Bombyx mori: one gene and its partners. The protein of the gene in region 2 purifies or fractionates together with the protein of the main gene of each other region. This does not show direct contact. Links are inferred from orthologs where the notes say so. Each region holds a gene or a part of one and is shown on either strand. Other genes may lie near its edges.

Evidence for each region.
Region 1: the proteins of histone deacetylase complex subunit SAP18 (region 2) and splicing factor 3B subunit 1 purify together in Homo sapiens (co-immunoprecipitation; 3 studies listed by BioGRID and IntAct, with this or other methods). This does not show direct contact. The link is inferred for Bombyx mori from reciprocal best matches to the Homo sapiens genes SAP18 and SF3B1.
Region 3: the proteins of histone deacetylase complex subunit SAP18 (region 2) and serine/arginine-rich splicing factor 1A purify together in Homo sapiens (co-immunoprecipitation; 4 studies listed by BioGRID and IntAct, with this or other methods). This does not show direct contact. The link is inferred for Bombyx mori from reciprocal best matches to the Homo sapiens genes SAP18 and SRSF1.

Annotation. Positions count from the first base shown.
Region 1 is NC_085116.1:8,406,542-8,417,042, forward strand, and holds the end of splicing factor 3B subunit 1, read left to right. Parts: intron 1-885; coding exon 886-1,169; intron 1,170-1,270; coding exon 1,271-1,474; intron 1,475-1,579; coding exon 1,580-1,778; intron 1,779-2,153; coding exon 2,154-2,312; intron 2,313-3,659; coding exon 3,660-3,952; intron 3,953-5,136; coding exon 5,137-5,295; intron 5,296-5,399; coding exon 5,400-5,588; intron 5,589-5,701; coding exon 5,702-5,884; intron 5,885-6,143; coding exon 6,144-6,322; intron 6,323-6,405; coding exon 6,406-6,651; intron 6,652-7,402; coding exon 7,403-7,615; intron 7,616-7,805; coding exon 7,806-8,022; intron 8,023-8,548; coding exon 8,549-8,707; 3' UTR 8,708-8,888; downstream 8,889-10,501. UniProt on the Homo sapiens protein: Component of the 17S U2 SnRNP complex of the spliceosome, a large ribonucleoprotein complex that removes introns from transcribed pre-mRNAs.
Region 2 is NC_085129.1:7,369,349-7,379,975, reverse strand, and holds histone deacetylase complex subunit SAP18, read left to right. Parts: upstream 1-5,074; 5' UTR 5,075-5,322; coding exon 5,323-5,397; intron 5,398-5,732; coding exon 5,733-6,137; 3' UTR 6,138-6,168; downstream 6,169-10,627. Other genes in the region: protein sarah, read right to left, coding at 653-1,324; uncharacterized protein LOC101740121, read right to left, coding at 8,990-10,024. UniProt on the Homo sapiens protein: Component of the SIN3-repressing complex. Enhances the ability of SIN3-HDAC1-mediated transcriptional repression. When tethered to the promoter, it can direct the formation of a repressive complex to core histone proteins.
Region 3 is NC_085122.1:426,899-435,754, forward strand, and holds the start of serine/arginine-rich splicing factor 1A, read right to left. Parts: upstream 5,803-8,856; 5' UTR 5,584-5,802; coding exon 5,405-5,583; intron 4,662-5,404; coding exon 4,298-4,661; intron 3,404-4,297; coding exon 3,327-3,403; intron 2,643-3,326; coding exon 2,534-2,642; 3' UTR 2,524-2,533; intron 1,351-2,523; 3' UTR 1-1,350. UniProt on the Homo sapiens protein: Plays a role in preventing exon skipping, ensuring the accuracy of splicing and regulating alternative splicing.

The DNA of each region.
Region 1 (10,501 bases), on a different chromosome or scaffold from region 2:
TATTTTAATATAACTTTTTTCTTTCAGATGATCACACATTTTGTACATTGTCGTGCCTGTGGATTTATAAAAAAAATATCTTTTATTTACACTGCTGATTTTATCTGGAGACAATATTCTGTATATATTTGATTTTTACAGCTGCGCTACCTTTGGCTGTATACTTTCATAGCAAAAATATATAATGAATTTCAAATACAAATACGTATTTGAAATTTAATAAATTAATTAACAATTGGACTATACCATGCCGGACAGAAAACTAAATTAATTGAAAAAATATTAACCAGTCCAGCAATCACAACATCCCATTAGCTAAGCAAATCAATAAAAAAAAAGTATATAAATAGGGTGTAACAGTTGCAAAAAGAAAATTGAAGTTGATGTACAATGCCTATATTGAAATATAGAGTGTTGATTATAAACACGACGGTGGAGTCCAACACAAAACTAGGGGATCTTACATGCTCATATTATACATATTTAGTTATGAAATCTCAAGTTTAGCGACATGGTGAACTGAGATGAAACACACCAACTACGACTTACTACTAATATTCTTCGAGAATTTGTCCATACCTGTAGTGACAACATCGTCTTCTTTTCGTTTTTAACCCCCCAATTGTTGTCTTATGTGCTGGGGGAGTTCCAAGCAGCAGCGTATTCTGGCATAAAGAAGTGTGTTAGCGATTGTCGGGTAGAATAATCACAATTCAACTAACTCAACTGTGATATCGATCACATGTCTCAAGATGGGCGGCGGCATTCACACTGTGGTGCATATAAGCTCCGGTCACCGCTTAACATTAGCTGGGCCCTGAGCTCGTCTGCCTATCTACGATTGTAAATTTAAAATAAAACCTAATAGCAAGTATTGTTGCCCAGGGTACGTCCCGATTCGGACGCCGGCCCGCAAGCTGACGGCGACGCCCACGCCGTTGGGTGGTACTCCAATCGGGTTTTTCATGCAGACGGAGGAGCCGGGCGGCTCGGCCGCGGCGGCCGCGCGTCTTCTCGACCCTCAGCCCAAGGGTAACCAGCAGCTGCCCTTTATGAAGCCCGAGGACGCCCAGTACTTCGACAAACTTCTCATCGACGTCGACGAGGATACACTCTCTCCCGACGAACTTAAGGAACGGAAAATAATGAAGCTTCTTTTGAAAATAAAGGTTCGATGATTTTTACCGTAAACGTTAAATAATCATTTTGATTTTGATGTAAACATATTGAGTGAAAAATTAAAAAACAAAATGCTATTATCATGTTGCAGAACGGTACGCCACCCATGTGCAAAGCTGCCTTACGACAAATAACAGATAAAGCTCGCGAATTCGGTGCTGGACCACTTTTCAATCAAATTCTGCCATTACTGATGAGTCCTACGCTGGAAGATCAAGAGAGACATCTACTGGTCAAAGTCATAGACAGGATTTTGTATAAATTAGACGACTTGGTTCGACCCTACGTACATAAGGTAAATATTATAATAAAAAAAAGAAAACATCAAAATATTAATTGTAATTAAGGACATTAGAACAAACCTATTTTTCTTTATCCTAAATTATTTGAATTTTGTCAGATTCTTGTCGTCATTGAACCTCTGCTTATTGATGAAGATTATTATGCGCGTGTCGAAGGTCGCGAGATCATTTCAAATTTAGCTAAAGCAGCCGGCTTGGCTACTATGATTTCTACAATGAGGCCTGATATAGACAACATAGATGAGTATGTACGAAACACAACCGCTCGAGCGTTTGCGGTAGTGGCATCGGCCTTGGGTAAGTTTTGTCATATGAATATTTAATTATTTTTTAAAGGGCATATTTACTGTCGTCTTCTTGTCCCTCGCCTCGTCTTATGCCTCTATGGTGTTTCCTCTAAAAACAAAAAAATACTGACAGGGTCCGTACTAACACATGTAATTTAATCTGTTTTATAGTTTGCTGTCAATCTTTTTGACAGTCTTATGAACATGATGATTTGAGTTAGTGGTATGGTTAAGTCTATGGGGAAATTATAATAATTTGTTCAAGTTTGCATACTTGCTATTCCCTATTATTATATTCCTATCCTAAGAATAAGCTATTTTTAACATAGGCTGTTGTTAACATAACACATCTTCAACACCATAAAAGAAATCTTTTTTTTTCCAGGTATTCCATCTTTATTGCCATTTTTAAAAGCTGTGTGCAGATCTAAGAAATCCTGGCAAGCACGTCACACAGGAATAAAGATTGTGCAACAAATTGCTATTCTGATGGGCTGTGCTATTCTGCCACATTTGAAATCTCTTGTTGAAATTATTGAACATGGTAAGATTAATATTTTAATTATATTTTAAGGATTTACTGAAACTTTCGGAATGCCACAACACCTAGTGGTTCCTGGTGATAGAACCTCTTGTGAGTCCGGACGGGTAGGTACCACCACCCTGCCTATTTCTGCCGTGAACCAGTAATGCGTTTCGGTTTGAAAGGCGGGGCAGCTGTTGTAACTATACTAAAAAAAAAACACCAATCTTTTCCGTAAACCATAGAATATAATCTAATCAGTGTATTCTTAATATGCCTCTATTAGTTTAACCCGTATTTTTACCTGTGTAATCCTATAAAGTAATTTTTAATAACTAAGAAACATCTGATTAATTTGAAACTTTACACATTATTAAAGACCAATCAATTAACATAATTGGATATCACTTTGCATTAATGACTTGACGACGATCATTAGTATAAACATATATTTTTGTATTTGTACATTTACTGTAATAATGTAATAAGGTCCCGGTTTTTCCCGAGCGCTATGACATGTCCTTCTTCAAACGAGGCTTGTGGAGAGTATTAAGCGGCAGGCAGCGGCCTGGCTCTGCCCCTGGCATTGCTGACGTCTATGAGCGACGGTAACTACTCAACATCAGGTGGGCCGTATGCTCGTCTGCCTACTACGGCAATAAAATAAAAATAAAATTGATATTATTATAAATTATTATTTAACAATAATATTTACCTCTATTCGATTTATAAATATAATGTAGCCCAAAGATATAGTTACGCCATGTATTTGTTGACACAATATTTGGTGATATTTTGTAATAATAGGTAGATAATACTTATTTTTTGCATTAGTATTCTAAGTAAGACATTCAACTTTTATTCTTAACTACATACTATTTTATTTTCGTTGATGAACAGATGCGATCTAGTGTTAGCGATTAATGGACACAATAGAATCGTCTGTACCGCCGCTCAGTTTTACATTAAACATAACTAATGTCTCGGTTGTCTAGTTGATTCTAAACACGTCATTTCGGATCCTCCGGATCCACTAACGGTGCTTTTAGGTACCTCAAGCACCGGCCATCGTTCTTGTCGAACCCGTCGCTTGCGACGAAGGGCTCGACGAGTAAATTAACCCTCAGACACAGCCCACTGAGTTTCTCGCCGAATCTTCTCAGTGGGTCGCGTTTCCGATCCGGTGGTAGATTCTGCGAAGCACGGCTCTTGCTAGGGTTCGTGTTAGCAACGTCGTCAGGTTTGAGCCCCGTGAGCTTACCTACTAGTTAAGGTTACGCTGATATAGCTTCTCAAGGCTTTCAGCTTAGGTAGGGAAAAAAAAGATTCTTAAATTACAGTATTTAAATAATTCATTTTATGCAATAGGTCTGGTGGACGAACAACAGAAGGTCCGAACGATCACGGCGCTGGCGAGCGCGGCTCTGGCCGAGGCCGCCACGCCCTACGGTATCGAGTCCTTCGATTCCGTGCTCAAACCTCTGTGGAAAGGTATTCGTACGCATCGTGGTAAAGGTCTGGCTGCATTCCTGAAAGCCATCGGATACCTCATCCCTCTCATGGATGCAGAATACGCGAATTACTACACACGAGAAGTGATGCTAATTCTTATTCGTGAGTTCCAGTCGCCCGATGAAGAAATGAAAAAAATCGTCTTAAAAGTATGTCTCTTTTTTTTCTTTTGTAATTCTATTTTTGGTGCTTATTGATTTTTTCATGTTTCTATCGCCTATAAATGTTTTAAGAAAGTTTACATATAAACATTTCTTAATTAAAGTTTCTGATTTAGAAACATTTTGCAGTGGTATGGGGTGGGGTTAATTTTCAAATAACAAAAGATTTTAACCAATATCTATTCAAATCAATATCAAATCAATTCAAAAGATTTCAAATAATAAAATAAAAAACAATTTAATGTTTCATAACATTATTGCTATTAATGTAATATGATTTATAGATATGCGAGAGAGATGGCCAGTTGTTGCATACACATAATATGCACACACATCTGTATATCCATTGGAAAATAGTGATCTCTACTCTCTTGTTTTACAACGAATTACGATGTTGTTTCTACAAAAAAGTTGCTTCCTAATGAGTTATTTTATTTTTATTTATACTTATTGTACACAAAAAGAAAATACAATAAAAACAGATTTAAAGAATTCTAAATACTATGTACAAAGGCGAGCTTAACTCATTCATGAGTTTTCTTCCAGCAAACCATTATCAGAGAGAAATACGATGTATAAGAGGGGAATAGTGTACAATATAAGAGCTATTAAAGCATGATTTTTAACTAAGCATTAAAAAAATAATCTAATATTAAATGAAAAATACATATAAATAAAAATACATAAAACAATAACTTAAATACGATTAAAGTGACAGGAAATGTTTCTTCATTTGACTCTTAAAAACTTCTAGAGAGGAACTAGCACGAATAGGTTGAGGGAGAGAATTCCATAATCGCACTGCTTGTATTGTGAAAGAGCCACTATAGCGACTAGAGCTGTGTATGGGAGTTTTTAAAAGAAGAGAAGTGGCTTGTCGACTAACTTTGCCGTCAGGAATCAGATATTCAAAGCGTTCACGGAGATAGATAGGGGCATCAGGATTGTGAAGAATAGAATAGAGAAAAGAGAGAATGTTATCATTAGTTATCATTAGGAAGCAACTTTGTTGCTGTTGCGGATAAAATAATAAAGTCAAATGTCTAACATGAAACATGCCTATTAGCTTAGACTGTAAGTCTTAGATAATGCATCAGTCATATACTAATTATCTCACCAAAACCAATAATCACTGTAATGTAATTTAATACACATTGTACTTAATATTTTAGGTAGTAAAACAATGTTGCGGTACCGACGGTGTTGAGCCTCAATACATAATGGATGAAATATTGCCTCATTTCTTTAAACACTTCTGGAACCATCGTATGGCCCTCGACAGACGAAACTATCGCCAGCTTGTCGACACCACAGTGGAAATTGCAAACAAGGTACTAACTATTTCGACCAGAATCATTGTATTTCCATTAATTCACTCAAAAGTAATCATTTTCCCAATCAGGCATTGCTTACATTGTGAAACTATTGATCGCAGGTCGGTGCATCAGAAATTATCAACAGAATTGTTGATGATCTAAAAGACGACAATGAGCAGTATAGAAAAATGGTGATGGAGTCCATTGAAAAGATTCTCGCTAATTTAGGAGCAGCAGACATTGATTCTAAGCTCGAAGAAGCTCTTATCGATGGAATATTGTATGCATTCCAAGAACAGACAACTGAGGTAAAACATTAAAAAAAGTTTAAATGTCTGATTTTTAAACACTTAAGTCGTGACACAAATCTTTTGTAAGTAATCTCTAACTTTATATGATTCAAATTGTGATTTTTCGATAGGATGTTGTGATGCTGAACGGTTTTGGAACAATCGTGAATCAATTGGGAAAACGCGTAAAGCCCTATTTACCACAGATATGTGGTATTATTCTTTGGCGTATGAACAACAAGTCTGCTAAAGTTCGGCAACAAGCTGCCGATCTCATTTCTCGGATCGCTGTCGTGATGAAAACTTGTCAGGAGGTAATCACATTTTCTTTGCCATATCCTCTTGTACGCTATGCTTCCTTACTAAATTAGTATGTAGTATAATTTTTTCGTAATATATTTTACAAAATGGGCAAACAAGCTCAACTGTCGCAAAGTTAACGGGGGTCCATACACCGAATTTAATTTGTCTTGAAGTATATTTGGATACATTAGGAAATGTATCCAAATATACTTAATTTATAACATCATTACCAATTGATTTTGAAAATTTTAATTGCTTGCTATTTCATAGGAAAAGTTAATGGGGCATCTTGGTGTTGTACTGTATGAGTACTTGGGAGAGGAATATCCTGAAGTGCTAGGCTCTATACTTGGTGCATTAAAAGCAATTGTCAATGTTATTGGAATGACAAAGATGACCCCACCAATAAAGGATCTCCTGCCTAGGCTTACACCCATTTTGAAAAACAGGTAACCTTGTTCTATAAATAGTGACTTGATAACTTCATAGAATCTTTAAATTAAATCTTTAATATGTTTTTTTTTAATTCCAGGCATGAAAAAGTACAAGAGAATTGTATTGATTTAGTGGGTCGTATTGCAGACAGAGGACCGGAATTTGTGTCGGCCAGAGAATGGATGAGAATATGTTTTGAATTGCTTGAACTATTAAAGGCTCATAAGAAGGCAATTAGACGAGCGACTGTAAATACCTTTGGTTATATTGCTAAAGCCATCGGTCCTCATGACGTACTCGCAACCTTACTTAACAATCTGAAAGTGCAAGAGAGACAGAACAGGTCATTATTTAATTAATAATTATTAGTAGATTAGTTAGCTTATTAAAATGAGTAGGATACGTTAGATCCTGCATGTTTGTTATTATTATTATCATTTACATAGGGTAATCAAAATAAAAGAACCCGTTTTACCAAAATATCCAAAATAAATTCTTAATAATAATATGGTCACAGGAAGTTGATATAATTTTTTCAGATATATTATGATCACATTGGCCCATCTAAATTTACAGTAAACTTATTTTATTTCCCTACATATTCTCTGGTAGCCTAAGGGGCTATTTCAGCGATGCCATGGTTGCTAGGTCAGCTCACAGGGCTCAACCTGAGAGATCTCGCTAAAATTGGTTATTCACAGAATCTACCACCGACTTGGAACCGCGACCCACTGAGAAAATCCGGCGAAAAACTCAGTGGGTGTTATTTCGCTCGTCGAACTGTGTCGTAATCGAAGAGTTGGACGAGGGCGGTGACTGATGCTTGGAGCCTAGAATAGAAGCACCCAAAAGGGATCTGATAAGACATATTTCGGTGACGGCGACTTTGCCCTTTCCGTCGCCTGAGTCGAATTAGCGATGGACAGAAAAAGTGGGTTATCGTATCGCGCCGCTTTTTCAAAGTACCATTCTCACGCTTCCTTTAGACACTTACGAATCGGTTCTAGTAAACTGATCGATGTTTTCTGTGTATGGATGGAGTTCGTGTAACTAATGCACTAAGAGAGATATTTAACGATGTAATTAATTTTCAGAGTGTGCACAACGGTCGCTATTGCTATAGTTGCAGAGACCTGTTCACCTTTCACAGTGCTACCTGCTTTAATGAATGAATACAGAGTACCGGAATTAAATGTTCAAAACGGTGTGCTCAAATCACTATCTTTCCTTTTCGAGTACATTGGAGAAATGGGCAAGGATTACATTTATGCAGTTTGCCCATTATTGGAAGACGCGCTTATGGATCGGTATGTTACATGTTTTCTGCCCCAAAAACATTTTCCTTTTTCGTTGTATAAATTAGATCAGTATTGAATAGTAATATAGATACGTTGTTATTTAAGATTCATTGGATATTAGTATAAAGAAGCTTTTTATTTTCTAAGCTTAATCAATATTTCCTCAAACCCCAATAAAATTGATTATTAAATTTCACAGAGATTTAGTACACAGACAAACGGCTTGCGCTGCCATAAAACATATGTCGCTCGGCGTGTATGGTTTCGGCTGTGAAGATGCCTTAGTACATCTATTAAATCATGTTTGGCCAAATATTTTTGAGACATCACCGCATCTGGTGCAAGCCTTCATGGACGCTGTTGAGGGCATGCGAGTTGCCCTAGGTCCCATTAAAATACTTCAATATGCATTACAGGTTTGTAATATTCATCAAAACATTTTTAAGAGTTAATTAAAAGATACGTCTTCTAACTACTATTTTCATGTTTCTGAAGTATATGTGATATAAAATATTGTCATCTATATACACTTCGAATGTGGTCACGGAGTATGTTATGTTAAACGGTTCCCAATACCGTTAAGAGACTATACTATCGAAAACGCCACCCAATTAATTGCAACATTTGTAAGTCTCAACTTAATTTGAATAATGGCTGCCCTTGTGCTTAAAATCGCAGGCACGACACATATAGGCAGCTCCATCAGTACCCTAGCTAAGAACTAGGTGTAAAAATATATGACTTTCTGGTGTCGACAGGAAATGTAAAATACTACTAAAGTTTAGGTCGCTCTGTATCTTCTAGTTATAAATCCTAAATTCTATTATTATGTATGTCTAGATGTTATGATGTTATAACTTTTGTGGATATGGATTTTGTGGATATTGAAATTAAAGTACTAATTTACAAAAAAACTTTAATGAAGTGCATGACCATTCACAGGGCCTGTTCCATCCAGCGAGGAAAGTACGCGACGTTTATTGGAAAATTTACAATACGCTTTACATCGGAGGACAGGACGCACTTGTTGCAGGATATCCCAGAATACAAAATGACCCAAATAATCACTTCATTAGATACGAATTAGATTATCTGCTTTAAAACATTATATTAAGATAGTTATAATTAAGAAACACTTCTGGGTTTACTGAAAAATAAATGATAATGCAAAGATATTGTTCTTATTTAATGTTTTTATCGTAGGTTCATGTGTAATTGAACCATCCTGCATTTGAAACTGTAAAAACAAAGTTTAAGTGTTAAAAATAAACAATAAAACATATTTAGCTAGTACATTATTTGTAACCTCACAATCTAAAGCGAAGAACTCCTCTGACGAGACTGCGGTGTTAAATTTAATTACATTTTGTTAATTGCTTGCACGAGTTTTATATGCATTTTAGAGACTATTATATAAATTGGCGACGACCACTAATTGCTTGGCGTAATTAAAGTTGAAACATTCATAAAGAAGTTTTTTTGAAGGCGAATAAGGCGCCTGTACGAATATGTATTGTATGTCTATGAAAACTACAAAGAGGTGGATACAATCAAACTTACCGAAATTGATTCTTGCATGATCAGCACACAATCTCCTCATCAAACAAACTAAAAGTGATTTAAGCAATCTTACCAGAAGTCACGCTACAAATAATAAAAATGAAATTCTAGAGCTATTGCTTAACTAATATATTTATGGAAGATAAATGAATTAAAAGATTGTCAAATTTGTTATAATTATATTTTTGAGAAATTACACAATTTAAGCAAAAGCTAATTTGGTTTCACATTATTTTAATCAATAAAACGATTGTTTAATACCGTGAAAATAACAAAAGATGACTAGAAATGTCTTTTGAATCAATACCGATAGAAGTATTTATTTATATCACCTTAATATTATATATTTAAATAAATGAGCACAATTGAAGTAGATTCCGAATTATAGTTGTAGTTTTGTTGAATATACGTTTTCCAATATAGCTTACCATAATAATTTTTAATAAAACGGAAGCCAATATTGATGTATTGCACTAATAAACTATTTCCGAGCTATTGTTACAAATTTTACGTCCGTTTTCATTGGGACGCGGCTTGAATAATCGCGATGAGTACAATATCGATTCGCCCAGGTCATTTTAAATGATTTTTTTTCCACCTAGTGACTGGTTACATTTTAATTTATCTTAGTTACTGGTTACACGGGGTAGCATCACCTTAATCACGCGTATATAGACTTTAGGATTATGAAATTAATTGAAAGTGGCAGATTTATTGTAGTAACAATTTAACAAAAAAAACCATATGACCCCCGCTTACAAAGAATCATCATGTCACGCGGCCTTAGCTCATGGAAAGGACTAATAAATAACACTATTTAATCCAACACTGGACTGTCATGAAAATATGTTCGCACTGCCACCGGTGTGCCAGCCATGCTGTCACTAAATGAATCGATCAAGCTCTACTGCATTTAAAGGCCTCTAGTTCAAACAATAATATCAATAATTTTTCTTGGCAATGTTAAGCGAAAGCGTACTTGTTTACATTTTATATAATAATTTAAATAATATGAAATATATGTTTAAATTTTTGGGAATAATTAAGAAACAAAAATGTCTTAGGACCAGAACGAGATCCGTGATACAATTAATTTTAAATTTCACTGGACTTAAAAATAAAATACTCGAATATAACAGCCTCATTATTAATACCTCATTAAAAAAAGAACGTAATGTTTTCACATATGGAACATTCAAAGATGTCTATAACAGGTCCACGGGTTGTTATTATTACTAAATATTAAATTAATATATTGAGCAGTAAACTGTGTAATAAATAAGATAGCCGCATAATATCAAACAGTTTCTTCAAACGTTTCCAGATCACATTAGC
Region 2 (10,627 bases):
TTTTTTTCTTTGAATCAAGTATACCCACAAACTGAAAACATTATTAACAAGCCCAAACAATATTAAATGATGTTCATATTGCAAATAAAATAAACTACAGCAAATAGTAACAAAATAATATGTAAGATAAAAAAGATATATGTTCATATTTTTTGTAAGCTCAAGAAAGCAATCTTTTGTATTTTCATTAATATGCTTCAATGACTGATATGTTTTGAACTATAGTCATAACTGCAGGCTTTTAGCTTACTAAACTATTACTTTAACAATATTTATAATTTAAAATTCTATCGCACAATTGGTTTTCCTTCTGTCTGGAACTATTCAGATTAAATTTCTTATTAAACCATAAAATGTTTGTAAAACAATTTTTATGATTACCCTTTAATAGAATGTAGCACCAATCCAACTTCAATTGAATTTACAATATGATTAATTAATAAAAGTATGCAAATCTATAACAAATTAAGTAGTTTATCATTGGTGAGTTGAGTTGACTATCATATACAACTATGCCTTTTCCATGATGGCTATTTTTCAGCTAAATAAATTAACATCTTTGGCTTTACACATCACAAACATGACATGAGTTTTTTATAAAAGCATTAAAATTCTATTTTATGTCAACATTATTAATTCATAAGGCATTTTATCAGTATTCTGGACAACGAGTGTGAGGAATTTTTTTTGCACCAGGCGGAGGAGAAACCTCTGATATTGCAGTGTGCACTACAATGGCTGGTTGTGTTGGTGTGGGTGCGTGTAGCTCTCGACTTTCACCAGGAGATAAACTTGCAAGTGCCGCTAAAAGGTCATGATTCACAATGGGTTCACCTTCTTCTCGAGGCTCCCAGCCAACTGGAGGACTTGATGGAGGTGAAATCAAAAATTGCTTAACAGGCGCCGGGGGTCTGAGATTCTTAAATGAAATTGGTGTCACAGGTTGGGCAAAATAGCAATTTATGCATGAATCATAAAATTGGTATTGATGTAATTGAATTCGTGCATTTGCGGCAGCTAAGGGGTTGTCATAATTAACGCGTAATCTTTTGAAACTGCGGAGCCACTGAAACGTTACATTTTCCGAAAATGTACGGAATAAGTCTTCCATCTCTTTTTTCAATTTTTCATCAGAAAAAACGATGCTATTAATGTTTGTTACAATAACAGATTTAGGTAGGTCATCAAAGTTGTCGACTTCATCTTGAGTATCACTTTCTTGTTCAAAATTAACTATATTAGGATGAATATTAGGCATTCCATCTTCTGGATTTATGTAAACGTTTTCTTCGGGAAATAGATCGTAGTCTTCTTGGTGTGCCATGTTTCCCCGCTACTGTGTAACGTATATAACAGTATCTGAATATTTATATACAGTAATACCATTAACAATTCTACTGTTAGCGCTTAGGATATTTTATTTAATGAATTTTTCAATTTGACTGTATTTATGGTATTTGACAGCTATCGATTGAACATAGATAATACACATATTTTATAAAACTGAAGATTGAAATCGCTTTTTAGTTTAAAGTACCGTACTGAACGACCATTAGCTATTCAGTATTTTAGTCTAATGTTAGCTATTCAAATTCTTCAACCTTCAATAATAAGCCACAGTAAAAAGCGAGAGCTTACTAAAACTTACTATATTAGGAGAAGCCTTTTTTTATGATTGAGGGCTTACTGGTGGCCCGAAGGCCATTCCAGTTTCACAAGGACAGGTAGAAGCCATGTCAAGAGGCTATTCTCGGCTTCTTATATTTCTCTCTTTCTCGAATTTGTTCTCAAAGTCACAATATTCATCGGTGTCCAAAATAAAGCAAAATTAACATAGCTTCGCTCCTTGCATTCTCTGCCAAAATAATAGGACATTATGATCTTATTGACAACCTAAAGACACTGCTAATATAAAATGACGGTAGTCTACTAGTTTATGTGTATTATTATCTATAGGTAGTTTTGAACACTTTTATGACTTATTTATTAATGCGGTGTACAATAATCGAAACATGTTATCAGAGATATTGTACTTCAGTAACGGAAACATTAGCTATACAATTAATAAAATAGTGATAGAAATTACTAGCCGTTAGCCGCGGTTTCGTCCACGTGGCTGTGAAACAATGTCAGTGTAGTTTATGAGGACAATGACATCCTTTTTAGAATAAAAGGTAGCTTAGTATCTGTGAAAGTGCACAAGTATGAAAAATGAAACAAGTCCAAAAAGTCATAGTATATAACCACCATTTTACTGAATCTCTCTACAAAACTTGCATATGCCCCGCCATGACGTATGCAAGTGTAGTGTTCGCTCACGCGGCCCGCACCAACTTCAAATCCCTTCAGGTTATTCAATCCCGTTTTGCAGGATAGCCGTCGGAGCACCATGGTAAGGAACGTGGATCTCCATTATGACCTGGAGCTCGACTTAGTCAGTAAATATCTAGAGTCGGCATCATTGCGCCACTTTGAGAAGGCTGCATGACACGGGAACCCTCTTGTCGTGGCCGCTGGAAATTACATACCCGATCTTGTAGACTGAATGGTACCACAAGCATCGGTCATCGTCCTCGTCGAACCCGTCCCCTGCGACAAAGGGCTCGACGAGCGAATTAACCCACAGACACAGCCCACTGAGTTTCTCGTCGGATCTGCTCAGTAGGTCGCGCTTCCGATGCGGTAGTAGGTTCTGCGAAACACTGCTCTTGCTAGGGCCAGTGTTAGCAACACTCCGATTTGAGCCCCCTGAGCTCACCTACACGTTAGGGCGAAGCTGAAATAGGCTCTCACTCAAGGCTATCAGCATAAGTAGGAAAAAAAAAACTGAACCTTTTTTAGTAACATTTGGTTGTGTTCATAATCTTTCATCTCTCATCTCATGTCGTTTCAGTTAGTTTCACCTCAAATGATTACAATCTTTAATAAATCAACTTTATTTCTTTTGGCTCATATTATAATATATTCATTAACAGCAACCTATTCCTCGAAATGGTTTTTTGTATCAAAAAGAAAAAAATCATCGATACTCATTATAAAGTAATAGCTGATATGGAAATATTTTCTGAGTAGTTGGAAGTATTCGTGAACTTTACATAATATATTACGTACATATTTAATTAGAAAATGCAACCTCTCTGCAAGATTTGAATACTGACAATGAGATAGTCGATTAGTCACATCGTTCGATCCACGACGGGCGTCTTATCCTTTAAATCACGACGACTTCGAACATATGGCCTTAGTCTTCATGGTCATAAATTTCTAGTTATAACAACATGTCGTTTATTTTTATTAAATTTTTTGGTTTTTATGACCTGGTACTTCCAACCTTTAGGTCAAACATGTCATTTAAATAATGGTAATGAAATTTATATCTCAATATAACATTAATTGTTCTCTCGGTCATGTTTATAAAATTTGCTATCATAAGTTTGATATTTAATTTTGGATTGAACAAACTCGATGCTAGCAATAATGCATCCCAAGAAGTTCGCTTCTCGAGTCCGCTTCGAGTAGGTATAATGGCTTAGCTATAGATAATACAAATAATATAAGACCTTAAATTATGTGTATTATCTATGGCTAAGTCAACCAATTCATTTATAATGGACTTTTGGCGGGAACGCGAGGAGTGAAGTTGTGTGATTTGTTTTATTTTGTCTAGTTAGTGTTTCTTCAGATTTAAATGTGTAATAGCGGTGGTTTATTAACTGTTTAGTATCTGTGAAAGTGCACAAATTTGGGAAAATAAAACAAAGCCACTGAACGTAACTTCTCGGGATCTTCCAAAAAGTCCACTGAAAAAGTCTCAGTAAATGACCACCATTTTACTGAGATTATGCTTCATCCCATATCATCTCATCTCATGTCATTTCATTTCGTTTTCATTTCACTTTAGGTTTCATTATAATCAACTTCATTTTATTTCATAATATCATTTTCATTTAAAAAAGTTACGTATCATTAAAATTAAAATAATACTTGACCTAAAGGTCTTAGTTACCAGGTCATAAAAGCCCTTCAAAAAAAAAATCATTTATCATCAGAAATTGTTTAAAGGTACCGTAAAATGGGGCGATTAGGGACAAATTCCAACTTTATGATCAATTTTAAGGTAGTTGTTGATGTATATAATGCTATATCAGGATCAAAATGATTGAGTCTTGGGGGCATCTTTGTTGTCTAATTTAAAATTATGGAACTAGCATTCCAGTTTAAGCAAAAAATGCAAAAATAGGTGTAATCCCTATTTACCCGAAAATTGCGGTTAATTGGGACGAAATGAGAAATTTGCTAGGGTTGGCACTACTTTTATTTTTATATATAGTTTTAATTTATTTATTTATTTAGTTGCACCAACAAAGTGATCATCAATAAAAAAAATTGAAAAACTGACAAAAGTACATGGCAGACATCACCTCAATTATAGGTGCAATCGACAGTGCTGATATTTCTATCTGGGTTAAGAGATTAGGTGTGTCGGTTATTCCATGGATTAATCAGATGAATACCCCCACTCTGAACAAATATTAAATATTTTATTATGTATTACTTAGACATTTTTGTCCACCTTGAGATTTCATTGATCTTGTTACATGTCTCTCCAAAATTGACTTACTTATATTAAATTGCTTATCTATTTCAAATAAAGACTTATTCCCAATTTCGCTTCGAATAAACCAGATTTTTACCAACAAATTTAAAAAATATTGTTATAACTACATAGACAACCCTACAAACCTGTACCTATTTATACTTAGTTCGTTTCCATTTCACGTATTCTCATCCCAATTGACCCCTTTTTCGTTGTTATTTGTACCTAAGCCGTCCCCAATATCCCCAAAACAACAGATTTTTACATGTATTTTTATTTAATCAAATACATTAAAACCAATAACAACTGAGACTTACCTTTAATATATATGCTGGTTCAAACACTAAATAACGTTTATAAATCATAGTCGTTTTCTATTATTATCAAATAAATAAAAGAGAGCAAAGTTTCTAGCACTAAAATAATTACCACCACAGGAAGTTAATTTGAAACGCGATTTTTTATAAGTTAGCAGCTATTATCATGCATATTCAGAGTTGTTTTGTGAACTTTCAACATTCTACTATTAAACTACAAAAAATGGAAGATTTTGCAACGAATATAAAACTTATATTGAGCGTCGAAAGATTTTCCCAGTTTTTTCCCGATTCGCCTCTCAATCCCTAATCGCCCCATTTTACCGGTACATGTATTTAAAGACTCGCATAATTTAAATAATTACTTAAGTTGGAAAAATTAAGTAGGACCACAATTCTCCAAATATTATGAAAATGGCGGGATTAGAATCAATGGTAGTTGAAGAAATTAAACCGACAGAAAAACCGGTGGACAGAGAAAAGGTACTTTGTTAAACAATATAATTGATTATTTTTTACTATAAACAGCATTTACTTTAAATTAATGTTCGCCAACTGATTTTAATTTGACCATAATAATCAACAGAACATTCAAATCCGTTGTGTCTACTAAAGCACTCTGTTCTTTTTTGTTTCGTAATTGACATTTTTTCTTGTAAATGTGAGATATAAAGTAACAATCTATTTGTTTTCGATAACACTAAAGCTCGTTCATTAGGATTATAAATAAAACACAATAATTGAATTGACAGAGGAGGAAATTTGTTATGCTTTTTCCTGATTATATAGAGATATAAATTTAACCTAAAATGTTTCAGACCTGTCCTCTATTGCTCCGTGTGTTTTGTTCAACTGGCCGACATAATTCTCCTGGAGACTATGTTAGAGGAAACGTACCTCAGAATGAATTACAAATATATACATGGATGGATGCTACACTGCGAGAACTTACAGGACTTGTAAAAGAAGTTAATCCTGAGACGAGACGGAAAGGCACATACTTTGATTTTGCCATTGTGTATCCTGATATGCGTTCCCCTACATATCGTATGAGGGAAATAGGAGTTACATGTTCCGGACAGAGAGGAGGCGATGATAACAAGACACTTTCACAACTGAAATTTCAAATTGGGAACTATCTAGACATCTCAATAACACCCCCAAACAGAATGCCACCACCAATGAGGCGTCCACAACCATATATTAATAATCGTCAGTACTGATAATTAAGTTTAATAAAAGAATGTGTATCAACTGTGTTCTTTCACTTGATTTAAAGGGTGAAGTTGGATTTCATTAAATTACTATTATAAAGGGGAACACCCACTCTCCATAGTGTTCTGGGCCCAAGATGGACATCAAATATTACTATAAAAATGGACTGTTTCTTAAATATATTGGATATCTAAAAAATATATTGAAATTGACACCACTATTATAAAAATAAAATAAAATAAAAAAATCGTTTTGAGGTTTATTTTCTATATAAATAAGTGTTGGATTATGAGTTACTTCAAGAACTTTTCTTTTATTAATGTTTAATTTATTAATTATGATAAGGGAGATGTTCCTAATGTAATTTTATCCAATTGTAGTTATTAGGGTATAAAAAACACATGTTTTTCTAAATATCTATGTTTTCTTCATCTTCATACACAATTAATAAATCATCTAAAAATAGCGCAGGAGGGCATATCCACGGTTATGAGTCTCGTTCAGTTTAAAACCACAATTCACACTATGTCTTAGTCGTAGTATGAAACATTATTGATCGGTATCCATAATCGAATGTAGCTGTGATCTTTAACTCCTGAGCCAAAGTCGTCGTTGAAGGGAGGATAAAATCCATAAAACAAAGTCAGTAAAATAAATCGAGGAAAAATCAAAACGCATCCATTTTACGCACCATTTTTCCGTTGTGAGCACAAGCAGCAAGCGAAGTGTCAGTCAGTCAGGTTTTTATTTTAATTATTTTGAAGTCGTCGTGACCTAACGGATAAGACGTCCGGTGCATTCTTGTTGAGCGATGCACCGGTGTTCGAATCTCAGGCGCGTACCAATTTTTCTAATGAAATACATACTTAACAAATGTTCACGATTGACATCCATGGTGAAGGAATAACATGGTGTAATAAAAATCAAACCCGCAAAATTATAATTTGCGTAATTACTGGTGGTAGGACCTCTTGTGAGTCCGCGCGGGTAGGTACCACCACCCTGCCTATTTCTGCCGTGAATCAGTAATGCGTTTTGGTTTGAAGGCAGCCGTTGTAACTATACTTGAGACTTTAGAACTTATTTATTTATTTATTTTTATTTATTACACTTCATATAAAATTTACATTGGCGGACTTAATGCCTAAGGCATTCTCTACCAGTCAACCAAAGGTAGTGCAGAGTGAATAGTGGTAGGTGCAAACTTATATCTCAAGGTGGGTTTTTTTTCTGCTTAGATGGGTGGACGAGCTCACAGCCAACCTGGTGTTAAGTGGTTACTGGAGTCCACAGACATCTACAATGTAAATGCGCCACCTTGAAATATAAGTTATAAGGTCTCAAGTATTTAAGGTTACAAGTTGAAGTCTAATGGGTATGTCTTTGATGTTATTTTATGTGCTTATAATCGATTAAAATCCATTGATTAATGTTAATACTTAAAATGTTTTATTTATATTTTTTTTTATGCACTTAAAATGTTTACTTAATACGTAAAAGGTTTCAAACTGGCAATATTTTTCCCGCAAAAATCAAAAACTTGTTTTTTCAATAGAGTTACTTTTTTTAAATTATTTAATGTAAACTGCAGTGGCGCTCATTTGGAAGAAATTAAATGCATATTTATTTATGACAAAATTAATGCACTAAGTATTTTTTCTCTAATCTATTGTCCACCTTGGGCCTGAAATGGGCATTCCCCTTTGTGTTTGTAATTACAAAAACAAATTTATAATATCAGGTCCAAAAAAACCAAAGGTCTACTTCAAATACTGTTTTAACACTTATAATTTCCTTCCTGAGTTATGGATTTTTTTTTATCAATAGGCAATTATTCTCACAGCTGACCTGGTATATTAATAAAATTTAGAAGGTATATATATTAATTATTTTTTTGTTGTAGACATAAAACCTATTGCATGGCCAGTTATAAAAAAAAAGACAAAGAAAAAAAAGACTCGCCGACCGCACTGCGCGCATTGTGCACGGACCCGCCGTATTTTCATCTTATTATTTTTTTGGAATTTCACTATGTACTTTTCTCTTATGAACTGCTACGGGCGATCATCCTCGTCATTGTCCGAGTGTTACACCGGCTTAGCGAACACAAATAAATTAGAGGAGAGCTGTCAAGCCGTTAGGCCGAGCGCCGCCAATACGCGTCGGCCACCAGTCACGTTTCTTGGATTCTGCAGCCTGCAAGAAGCCAGCGACGGGCTGTTAGGTACGTCTACTTCTCATTACCTAGCCTCGGCCTGCCCTTCTTTTTGATCACCTGTTGGCGATACTCGCGCCCGCAAGAACCTTCATAAATATAGAACCAGAGCATCGCTGTGGTGAACATTTTTAAAAGATTTAGTTTTTTCCCCACTACAAAAGTTCAACTATCATATCGAGCGGTGAAAGGCTATCTGATATAAGCGAGATTTCGTTTAATACGCGACATTTATCATGGAACTTTAATTAAGTTGACCCCAATCAATTAGCTGAAGTTTTTTTTAAAAACAAATGGCATTTCACCCCTCCATCTGACGTCAGGTATGTATGATGAAAGCTTTTTCTCACATTTTAATTAGCATGTAGTACATGCAGCACAATTTTTTTAAATAAAAAACATGCATGTACTCAAGTTCAGAAACAATTTCCTTTATTTCTTTTTGCTGAATATAATAATCCATGAATAAAACAAATTATCACTTTAATAATTTTATTTTGATTGCACCTAATTTGTTGGTTTATAAACCTTAACAGATTCCTTGTTTATAAACAACAAATTGAGTTAATGTCGACACAATTTAATGACAATTAAAATGTACCTACTATAAAAATAGTCCCTAAAATAAATATACAATACCTAAATCTAATGATTGACGGGTGACCTGAATGGTCTCTTGGTTTTCTTACCCATGGCAGAGAGATCTATTGTGATACCATTGGGTAGGACAGCCTTATTTTCTTGGTAGTCTATAAAACCCTTCTGATCTTTTTCTTCCTTGTTCTTGTCGCATAGGATACCAGTTTCGTAATTGTATTCGCGTTTAAGACCATCAGGGTCGACATAACCGTATTTACCGCGGGTAATACAGTCTATTCCAATGGTTTCTTCCTTAAAAGAACCGTCGTCGTTTTCGAAGCCCCATGTAATGCTTCCATCCTCGTTTTCATCTCTGTATTTACGAATAATTTGAGCGACTGGTTTCTTTTCTCTTGTATTAGTTGGGCTGTACTTCTGTTGTGTGTTTCTGACGGGGGCGCGGATTGGCTCCTGAGGTCTTGTGTACTGTCTAACGGGCTGGATTTCTTCTTCCTCTTCTACAAAAGGCTTAGTTTCAGGCCTGAATATAGGTCGTTGAGGTCTATTGGAAAGTGGTTGAATTCTGGCAGGTTGAGGTTTGTTAATTGGTTCGTTTCTGATAGGGTTGAAAGGTGTGGGTGAAGACGGTCTGTATTGCGTGGGACGGATGGGATCTAGCTTGACCGGGCTAGGAGAAGATTGTGGGAACGGGTTAAAGATTATGGGTGGTTTTGGCTGAGAAGTGGTGGTGATGTCGTAGAAGTCATTTTGAGGTTCGGGTGTAGAGTAGCCGCTGGACGAAAAAGCTGTAGGAGTGTTAATTTCGTATTCATCTTCTGGTTCTTCAGTAACAGGTTTCGCAGGTTCATCAAGTGACTGAAGATTTGGACGAGGTGAGGCATCCACGGATTTAAAAGACGGTCTGGCAAATCCTGGTCTTCTTACTCTAGGAATTGAACCAGGCACCGGTGCTATCCTTCCTTGCCTGAAGCCGCCTTGCCTGACTGGTCCTCCGACTGGAATGGCTCCTGGTATTTGTAGTCTCGGAGGAATAGGAGAGTCATTTTGCGCATAAGCTGTTAAAGCAAACAGCATAGAAATCTGAAAATAGAAAAAAAGAGTTTTAATTATAGAAATTTTAGGTTTAAGTTATCGTGTAATGTGTGACACACTTAAGGCGTTCATTTTAATACTTTTACGCAATACGACTGGACATAAATTTTTTAGTAATAAAATACCAAACTTAGAACCAAAAACGGATGAAGTAAAAGAAATAACAAGAAATAGAAAACTTCCTCTTGGCACGTTGTAATAGCTAGGTATATGTATATATGAATAATCCAAGAAGGGTGGATTTGAGGTCAGTGATCAGACATAAAACTCATGCCTTATCATACTGCGCCTACCTCACATAATGGGGGATGAGGGCGAGAAAAAGAAAAGATATGCGTACCCGAAACATGAGAAACGAAAAATTGTCGACTATACCTAGAACTGCAATCACGTTAAGTAAAGATTTTGATTCTAACGGTCAATCGCATTCGGTCAAGATTTGTATAAACAAAAGTAACCCGATTATTGTCATAGTTATTGGTAGTAATCATATTTAGAGATAGAAGATTACCATAATTATTCAAAGAAACAGGGGTTATTAATACTTAAACATTATTAAAACTTAAGCTAAATAACGATTAAAATTCTGAA
Region 3 (8,856 bases), on a different chromosome or scaffold from region 2:
TACCCGGCGCGTCCAGCGGTCCTGATCCGTCCAGTGCGACACACAGGCCCCCGGTCGTGTCCTACAGCCCGCGACACTAACATCCGTGTTCCGATCCTGACTCACACCTCCAACGATCCCATCCAAGCACATCCAACGATCCAAAGTCGATGAAACAAAAGAAAATTACTTTAATTATACATGTCAAACCTTCTGTCTTATTATACATTACTACGGTGTCAGTGTCAACAACGCTGTGCCTCGTGGACTATTTTTTTTTATTTTACAATTTTAATAAAAAATCACCTTTACAATGAAATATTTAAAAGAGATATTAATATATGGATGGAATCGTGAAAGATTATATTGAAAATGTATAATGGTTTCCATCAGAGTGGTTCAGTCGCAAACTCGCGGGTGTTTGCTCTAATATCTAATACATTACAATTTTGAGACCATCACCAATTCATAAAATAAATTTTTAAAATTAAAACAGTCAACGAAACAAAGTATTGAAAGGCACGTTCAAAAGCAAAAATTCCTAAACAATAGTCTTTGTGAAATATATTTTTAAACAAGTCATGAGTTTCTACTGTGAAGTTTCAAAATCGTCAATGTCAATATTCTGATTATTGACACATTTTTTATAAAAAAATTGTATTGTTAACTCATCATCCAATTAGTAGAATTTAGAGAATGCTTTGGATAAAACTTGTTTTGAGATTTTAAAAAAACAAAAGCAAATTATAAATAAAGATTCAAAATTGTCTAACAAAACAAAAAATTGGAGGTTTTTGGATTTAAACAGAACAAACACCTTTGTGTGAATTAAAGACGATACAAATACACAACTAACTGTTGGTCAAATATAAAATTGCTTACAACTTTGGAAAATTGAAGTATCCCTTTAATTTTGTCCATATCCAATTTAGCATGAGTATTACATTTTCATTACTTAAAATTCATTTCATCCCTATGCATCTGAATCTATTATACTTTACATTTTCATAAATAAATTAAAAAATATTATGTCTCAAGTCTTGTTTGAACAAAAACATGGTCCTAAGGTTTGTAGCCTCACTGTACAAGTGAACTCGCGTAATATTAGCTCATACCCTACAGTTAGTTATCAATTCCCAATTTAATAATCATTGCACAATTTGTAGGACATTACAGTATGAAAAGCAGTACCGACGAAATTCATCTCAAAACAGTCTCCAAAGATACAGTGAGAGCTAACATGTAATTTTTGCATTTGAACGTGAATGTTTGTTTGTATACAAGTGGGAGGGCTTATGAACTACAAACAGCTGGGAGTCGCGGCGGCACCGGGGGCGATGACCTCTCGGCGCGTGTCACTGACCTCTACGGCTGCACACAAACACACAGAATTGTTCATCTTCTTCATTTTTTTAAATTTTAAATTTATTATGTTTTATTATTTTATTATGAACACCAGTAATTTATTATGCACATATGTTGGGTAACAAGTCAGTTCACTGTGTGTCTGTCTTTATACAACCCGCACTTAGCAATCCTTTTAAAGAGAAAAGTACCCTCACTAATACACAACAAAATCTATTTTTAATATCATTATCTATCTTTTATTTATAACAGTACATTATTGTCTTGAACAGTTTGTCGTAGTTATACTACTTTTGATGCACTGAAACGGTCTGGAGAATTCGCACATAATAGATAGTGTGACGTTAGTAGATAAAATTACATTAGAAGTGAAATTAGTACTAGAGAACTCAACAAAATTGTTAGATCTAAATTTATTTTCTGTTTTTTTTTTAGTTTTTTATTTTAGTTTTAGCATAAAAGTTATGTTTTGAGATTCCTTTTGTGTATATATCGCCATTTCCCATTTTGGGTTCCTAGAGTAATTGGCATAGTGGATTATTTTTAAAATCTGTTATAGTGGGATCTTGTCTGTCATAGGCTGTGAAAATATGTCGTTTTTTTTTAAATTCAGTATGTTTTTATGAACACAGCTACAATATAAAAACAATCATTTCAACTTGATGACATCATTAGATGATAGAACCACTTATTATTTAAAATGAAGTTCTGATAATCATTAAAGTCAGTTGCTTAGTTCACATTTGCTGTCCAGTAGATTTAAAAAACTACTTAATTATTAGGTAAATGTTCAATTTCAATGTCTCTAAATTATAGAAAACATTTGTACTTACCGATTGATTTTGACAAACCAACAATGTCGGTAAACATATGGTGTGCATTAATTGTAATCAAATGTTAATTGTGCTTAATGTTCATCTTTATAATGTTTACATTTTATGAAAATCTGTATCCTTAGGGTATCCCTGCACGGCCATGCTGACCAGATTATGATTCCTACTTTCGCTAGTTATCTATAAGACTAAATTTATCCAAGTCCATTAAGTTTTTATTAATAGAATGGTAGTTTTATCCACTGATAAATAATCCATGTTTCTAACAATGTATGAACATTATAGAGAACCTACCAAATGTGAACAGCAATGTTTAATTAGATATAATCTCATAAGAGTACAGTACCTTGTGGGAGTCAGTAGTTATGTGACCGCGAACGGGAGCGTGAGCGCGAGCGCGAGTAGGAGCGTCGCACCGGGGAGTAGGTTGGGGTGCCACGACGCCGCGGGGAGTATGACCGAGACCTTGTGAAGAATATATCACCTTAGAACAGGGGTGGGCAAAAGCCGGCCCGCGGGCCGGATCCGGCCCTTTTGCTAATTTTATCCGGCCCGTTGAAAAATTCCGCACATAAATTTTTTTAAACTCTTTTATGAGATTTTGCTGACATCAGCATTAAAAAAGCATATGCGGTAAAAAAGCATATGCGGTATAGTCCTCCGGCCCGGGAGACATTTTGAAAATTTCATTTTGGCCCGCGCTTTAAAGTATTTGCCCACCCCTGCCTTAGAAGTAATTAACATCTTCTTAGCAAAGACAGTTTTAATAGTACTAAGTTATCCAACACAATTGTTAATGTCCAAAGGTGGGCTGAGATAACAAAATCGATATATATAAAAATGAATTGCTGTTTGTTAGTCTCGCTAAAACTCGAGAACGGTTGGACCGATTTGGCTAATTTTGGTCTTGAATTATTTGTGGAAGTCCAGACGTTTAAAAGGTAAAATAAAATTTTGTTTTTCCTTTGATGTGTCCCCCGTTGGACGGATTCCTTTTGTTTGTTTTAAGTTTATTTTATACAATAGTTAGGTCTTTTATTTATCGATTGAGGCACTACGAAGTCTGCCGGGTCAGCTAGTTTAATCAATATATTTGGCCAATTAAATGATATAGTAGTCAGTTAATGTAGTAATGGTATGTAGTGGTACCTGTCACCGCCGCCGCCACCACCGCCACCGCCGCCACCGCCATAGTCTTCCTTCACACGTATATATGTCACCTCACCCTGGAAATGAATATTTAATAGACGTCTAAATCTTGCACTACATGACACTGCTTGCTTTTTAAATTTCTTGAGTTGATTGTAAAACGCTTTTACAGTGTAATATAGCTTTCTTTTCATTCATTTTATAATCTTCATCATCTATGACCATAAGGTCTGTAATATCAAGATTAAGAAAGTATGGTTCAAATTTGATCCATGGTTCAAATTTCTTTTGTAATATCAATATGAAAGCAAACTCAGTTTACTTAAGCTGAGATGATGTTTTGTTGCCTCACATCTCATTTTACATTCCATTTGTTCTTTTCAATCTCATATCAGTTTTTCTCAAACTGAAATTACTTTACCATAATTGACAAGTGAATTGTTTTTTAAAAAAAATATTTAACTGTATGTTGAAAGGACAATCTCATTTTTTATAATTCAGTAAACAAATTGGTAACAAGTATGGGCAGAAAAAAACATTGAAAAAAAAAAAAAAAAAAACTGGTATTGCAAATAATCAGAAAAAGGAGACAGCTTAGTCCAACCTAGCTAAAGAATTCAAAAGTTTGTTTTGCTTACTTTATTTACTTGAGTTTTACAGAATGCAATTTTGGACATTATAGATATCTACTGAGTTTGACACAAAATAACAGTTGTTGATTTTGAGCAGCTATTTGTAAATGAACAGTTTAAGCACTATCCCATGGTTTAATTTCTCCTTCATGAGCCTTAAACTTCTAACTAATTCAAATTAAACTATAAAAGTATTTGACACAATTGATTATCTTGAAACTTTTATGTCCACGTTGGGTAACAATGATAAAAAATTTGGGACAATCCACCAACAGTACTGTTCTTTCACATTACAGGTTATGTTTATAATTATTTTCAAATAAAGTGGAAGAAACTAACCTCATGACTCCTAAATCTAGAATCATCTAACTTTTTAACAGCATACTTCATATCTTCATGCCTCAAAAATTCCACAACACCAGATCCATCTTTAAAGGTGTCTGCAAAGCATACGTCGCCGGCCTCTCGCATATGGTCTTTGAGGTCCTGCCAGGAACCCGAGGGCGGTAAGCCGGTAACGAGCACGCGGTATTCAGAGCGTCGAGCGGGCGGACCACGTGCTGCCCCTCGTCCACCCCAACGGTCACCACCGCCTCGAGAACCACGAGAGCCTCCACCTCCACCTCCACGAGGGAACTCGACTCGAAGACGGTACCCATCATAGTCGTAACCATCCCTGGCTCTTACTGCATCATCTGCATCTCTGAATTCCAAAATAGATTTTATTAAAATAACTTGTCTCAGATTAATTTAGGTAGATATGACTGTATATTCTACTAGGAGTGAAACAAGGCAGGCTCTGAGCTGTGCACCTGGTATTCTTGACGTTCATTAGTGACAGTAACAACTCACCATGAAGTGGACATATCTAATAAAAGAACCAATCACACACAGTTTTGACATCACTCATTGTGTAATTTTAATTTAATATGTTGTGTGTTTATATGTGTGTTATAATTTTATATAATTGGCAATAATCAGCAAATTTTATTGATTTTAATTTTTCTGAAATAATTAGAAATCATAGGTGAATATTATTAGATTTATGGATACAGGTGCTCTGGCAGACTATTAAATCTGTGCCACCCTTCATATATTTTAATATGTGCCAACTTTTAAACTAATTAGTTGTCAATTAATCATAAAATAATAAATGATTAATTGTTAATTTAAAGTCCCATTTTCATTTATCAGTAAAAATGTTTACTTAATCTGTATCTGTATCTGTGGTGTGGAAAATTATATTAACGCTGAATAAAATTGTTCATTTCGCTATAGTCGGGTACAGATAGCGGTGTATGCGGCATAACGTATGCGCTCTTTTAAATCTTCTTCAAAGGCAGCTGAACATTCCGTCCACCTGACACGGGATGATTATCGCTACTCAGACATGGACAACGTTAGTAATATAGATAGCCCGTTTCTCTTTTCGAATTCAACACTCACCTGGGATCCTCAAATTCCACGAACGCGAATGGCGGACCTTTTCTGTTCTTTAGGTCAACGAACGTTACTTTTCCGAACTTGTAAAACAAGTCTTGAATATCCTTTGTCCTTATGTCCGGTGGTAAGTTTCCAACATATATACGACACTCATTTCTGTTGCTACTGCTTCCACCCGACATTATAGCTAAAGAATATTACTATTGCTTAAACGTTTACTTATTATTATGTTGGCTTCATCGACTAATTTCACCAATCCGACGCTTTACTGTGTGTAATTGAAAGTCGGGCAATATGGCGTCAAATGTCAATGTTCCGATTTTGGATCACGGTGGATTTGACAGAAAAGAAAACGATAATCATGAAAACGGAAGTGGAAAAACCTGGTCATAGATTATAAATATGTGGCTGTATAATTTTTACAAAAGTCCGTGTGAAAGGATTTATACAAAGATGTGTATGTAGTCGTCCGGCACATTTTAAAACTAAACACCATAAAATTGAATAATTAATCTGAAATGTAGTTTGCTTTTGGTGATATCAGGATCAGGACACTTATCATTCTTTCCTGCTTGTCCGGAAGTTTCTGTGTCGAAATCAGTACCTATAGCGTGTTTTATAGGTCTTTCTAATTTCGAGCCCGCTGCCCTTCACTTTTGTTAAATGGAAATTAATATATAGGCTGATCAATATTGGCAGTTTCGAGTTATGTTAGTAACATTAAAGTATGGGTTTTCCCATATAAAATCAGGTAGGAACTTACTAGAGAACTTGTACTTGAACTTGTGCTTAAGGTGTCATCTTCTTGAATGGATTAAATAAAATAAAATAAAATAAATAATACAATAAGGCTATGCGTCATGATAATCGCCTTATTGGTGCCACCGTTGATTACTCCTCGAATTCTAATCATGCAGGAGCCAGTCACCGTTGATGCCCTAGACACGTCCTTACGGATCCATCAGATCCAATAACCTTTGCATTAGAAGCCTTCAGCTCTAACACTAGTAGCAGGCTCAGGGACCCCGGTAACCGTACTCATAGAACTCGACAAAGAGTTCGACGTGCAACCTAATCTATGTATCAGCCCGCTGAGTTTCTCGTCGGATCAGCTGTCAAAGCAGCTACTCTTGAGTTGATAAGTCTCCTTCGGAGGCGCTCGGGCAGCTGTTAAGTAATCCCACCCCTCCTGGCTGCGCTTTTGCTCACCTAACTGTCCTGGTGAAATTAGTGTAGGGGAAGCTTAACGACCGAGGGAAGATCTTCCATCGAGCTGGTGATATTGCTCGGTAGACCGACGGTCCGAATGCTGTTGTTCGGAACTTGTATATATGCGCTTTAACTTGAAAATGTCGTAAGCGAGATTCAGACATCTGTCAATTATCTTGCGTTGTATGATGGCTACCCGCCACATCACTCCCCTCCGAGACTGGAGGTCGTGTCATTTTTAGTTAGCGTTGTCCATGCTGAGATTAGCTTGCAAGGGCCAGTGCTGCTCGAAGCCTGCGGTGAGTCGAGGCTGAGCTTGAATTGCTGCGTGATTGTCGCTAGTGCTGCTCGTAGTCTGCGGTGAGTCGAGACTGAGCTTGAATGCTGCGTGATGAGGCAGTGTAGGTGCGTGCCGTAGGAGCAGGAAGCGCGGTGAGTCAGCTGCGATGGTCCTATCGAGGCTGCGATGCTGGCTTGCTGTGGGACTACTGTCGATGACTTGCTTTTATCTGCGAGAATTGTGGTAGCCGAAGTTCTTGATGCGCTGATGATGAAGTGTGAAGGCTGCAATGGTTTCGTCGCAGGTCACCAGTTTGTAGAGATATACGACAAAGGGGAGATCTTCCACCGAGCGGGTGATATTTGCTCGGTAGACCGACGGTCCTAATGTTGTTGTTTGGAACTTTTATATATGCGCTTTATTTTGAAAATGTCGTAAGCGAGATTCAGGCATCTGTCAATTATCTTGCGTTGTATGATGGCTACCCGCCACACTAGAAAGGCCTCAGGGCCACCAGTAATCCTTCAATCACAAAAAAGCTTAATGTTGAGGATACTTAGCATTAATAAGAATACTTAGCATTGATAAGAATACTTAATATGGAGTCATGTAGAGGAAGTCCAAGCACGCGTCCGAAATCTGCCGGCTTACCAATATACACAAGCAAATGCGAACAACTTATACTAGTTTATTTTATTCATTGGAAAGGCAATAGAAACGAAGCCTTAAAAGCTATTTATATACGATGAGACCAATGAAAAGCGTTTGTAAATTTCGACACTCTTTTTGGCAGGAACTATTTTGTTTTGTAATTTAGTGTTTCTTCAGGTTTAATCGTGTAATAGTGGTGGCTTATTAACCATTTAGCATCTGTCCAAGTGCATATGTAAGAGAAAATTAAAAAAAAAAGCTGCTGAACCTGGCTTTTACAAAGGTAATATAAGAAAGCTCACTGTGGTTTGAGTAAATAAGTACCATTTCACGGAGCTATTATTTCATCCCAGTTCATCTCATTTCGTTTAAAATCTATATCGAGTTCAGTCTCAAATAGATCAACTTCATTTCATTTCACTGCATAAACAATTCCTCATGATTCAGCGAAGCACTGCTCTTGCCATAGCAGATATTAGTAAACCGTTTTAGGTTGCTCCCTGGAACCACTGTCCTAACGTGCTGGCTCTAGATTTTACGATGGTATATATTACACTACTATTCGAACATTCGATTTTCTAAATTAGTAGTAGTATCCTTGACAAAAACCTCGTTTTGTTGAAGATCTTCTTGTAACTGTACTAAAGAATAAAATATTCAAGTTTAAACACGAGCATTGTAGGCAGTATTTTTCACTGTTTTAATTAGCCAGTAATTTAATTATTGTTTTTAGGGAAAATTATTATCATTCCTTGTAGATCAGGCCACTAATAAACCAAATACGCTGTTTGACCATAGAGTTTAGTTTTCGAAAATTTGAATTGAATTTAGAACGCCCTCTCGCGCATGTCGAGTGCAATTTTGTTGAAAGAAGCCTGTGAAAGAATCCTCTGGAAAGTAGGCATCGAATCTCCGGTTATCAAAATCTTAACGTGAGAATTTGTTCATTTATCGAAGCAAAAGTGAGTATTTTCAGTATTATTTAAGTAGGAATATTTAAGCATTGTCAATGTTTATTTAATATAATATCGGTTTTAAAGATTTTTTTAAAGAACGATGTTTCACGTACTACGAAAGGCGGGTTATAGAATATTTCAAGTTTCGCGATAATACAACAGATGCTTGTATTGATTCAACATTCCCGTTTCTATAGAAATTATACTAAGGTGAAAACTTACACGGCGCTGAGTCATTAGCGCTTGCTGTGTGGTAGCTATCTAATTTATTTGATGACGGGTATAAGCGCCAGTGCTTCCGTTCGAATTATCACTAGAAAACCTTCTGATACCGTTTCGGTGCTAAGGTAAATAAATGT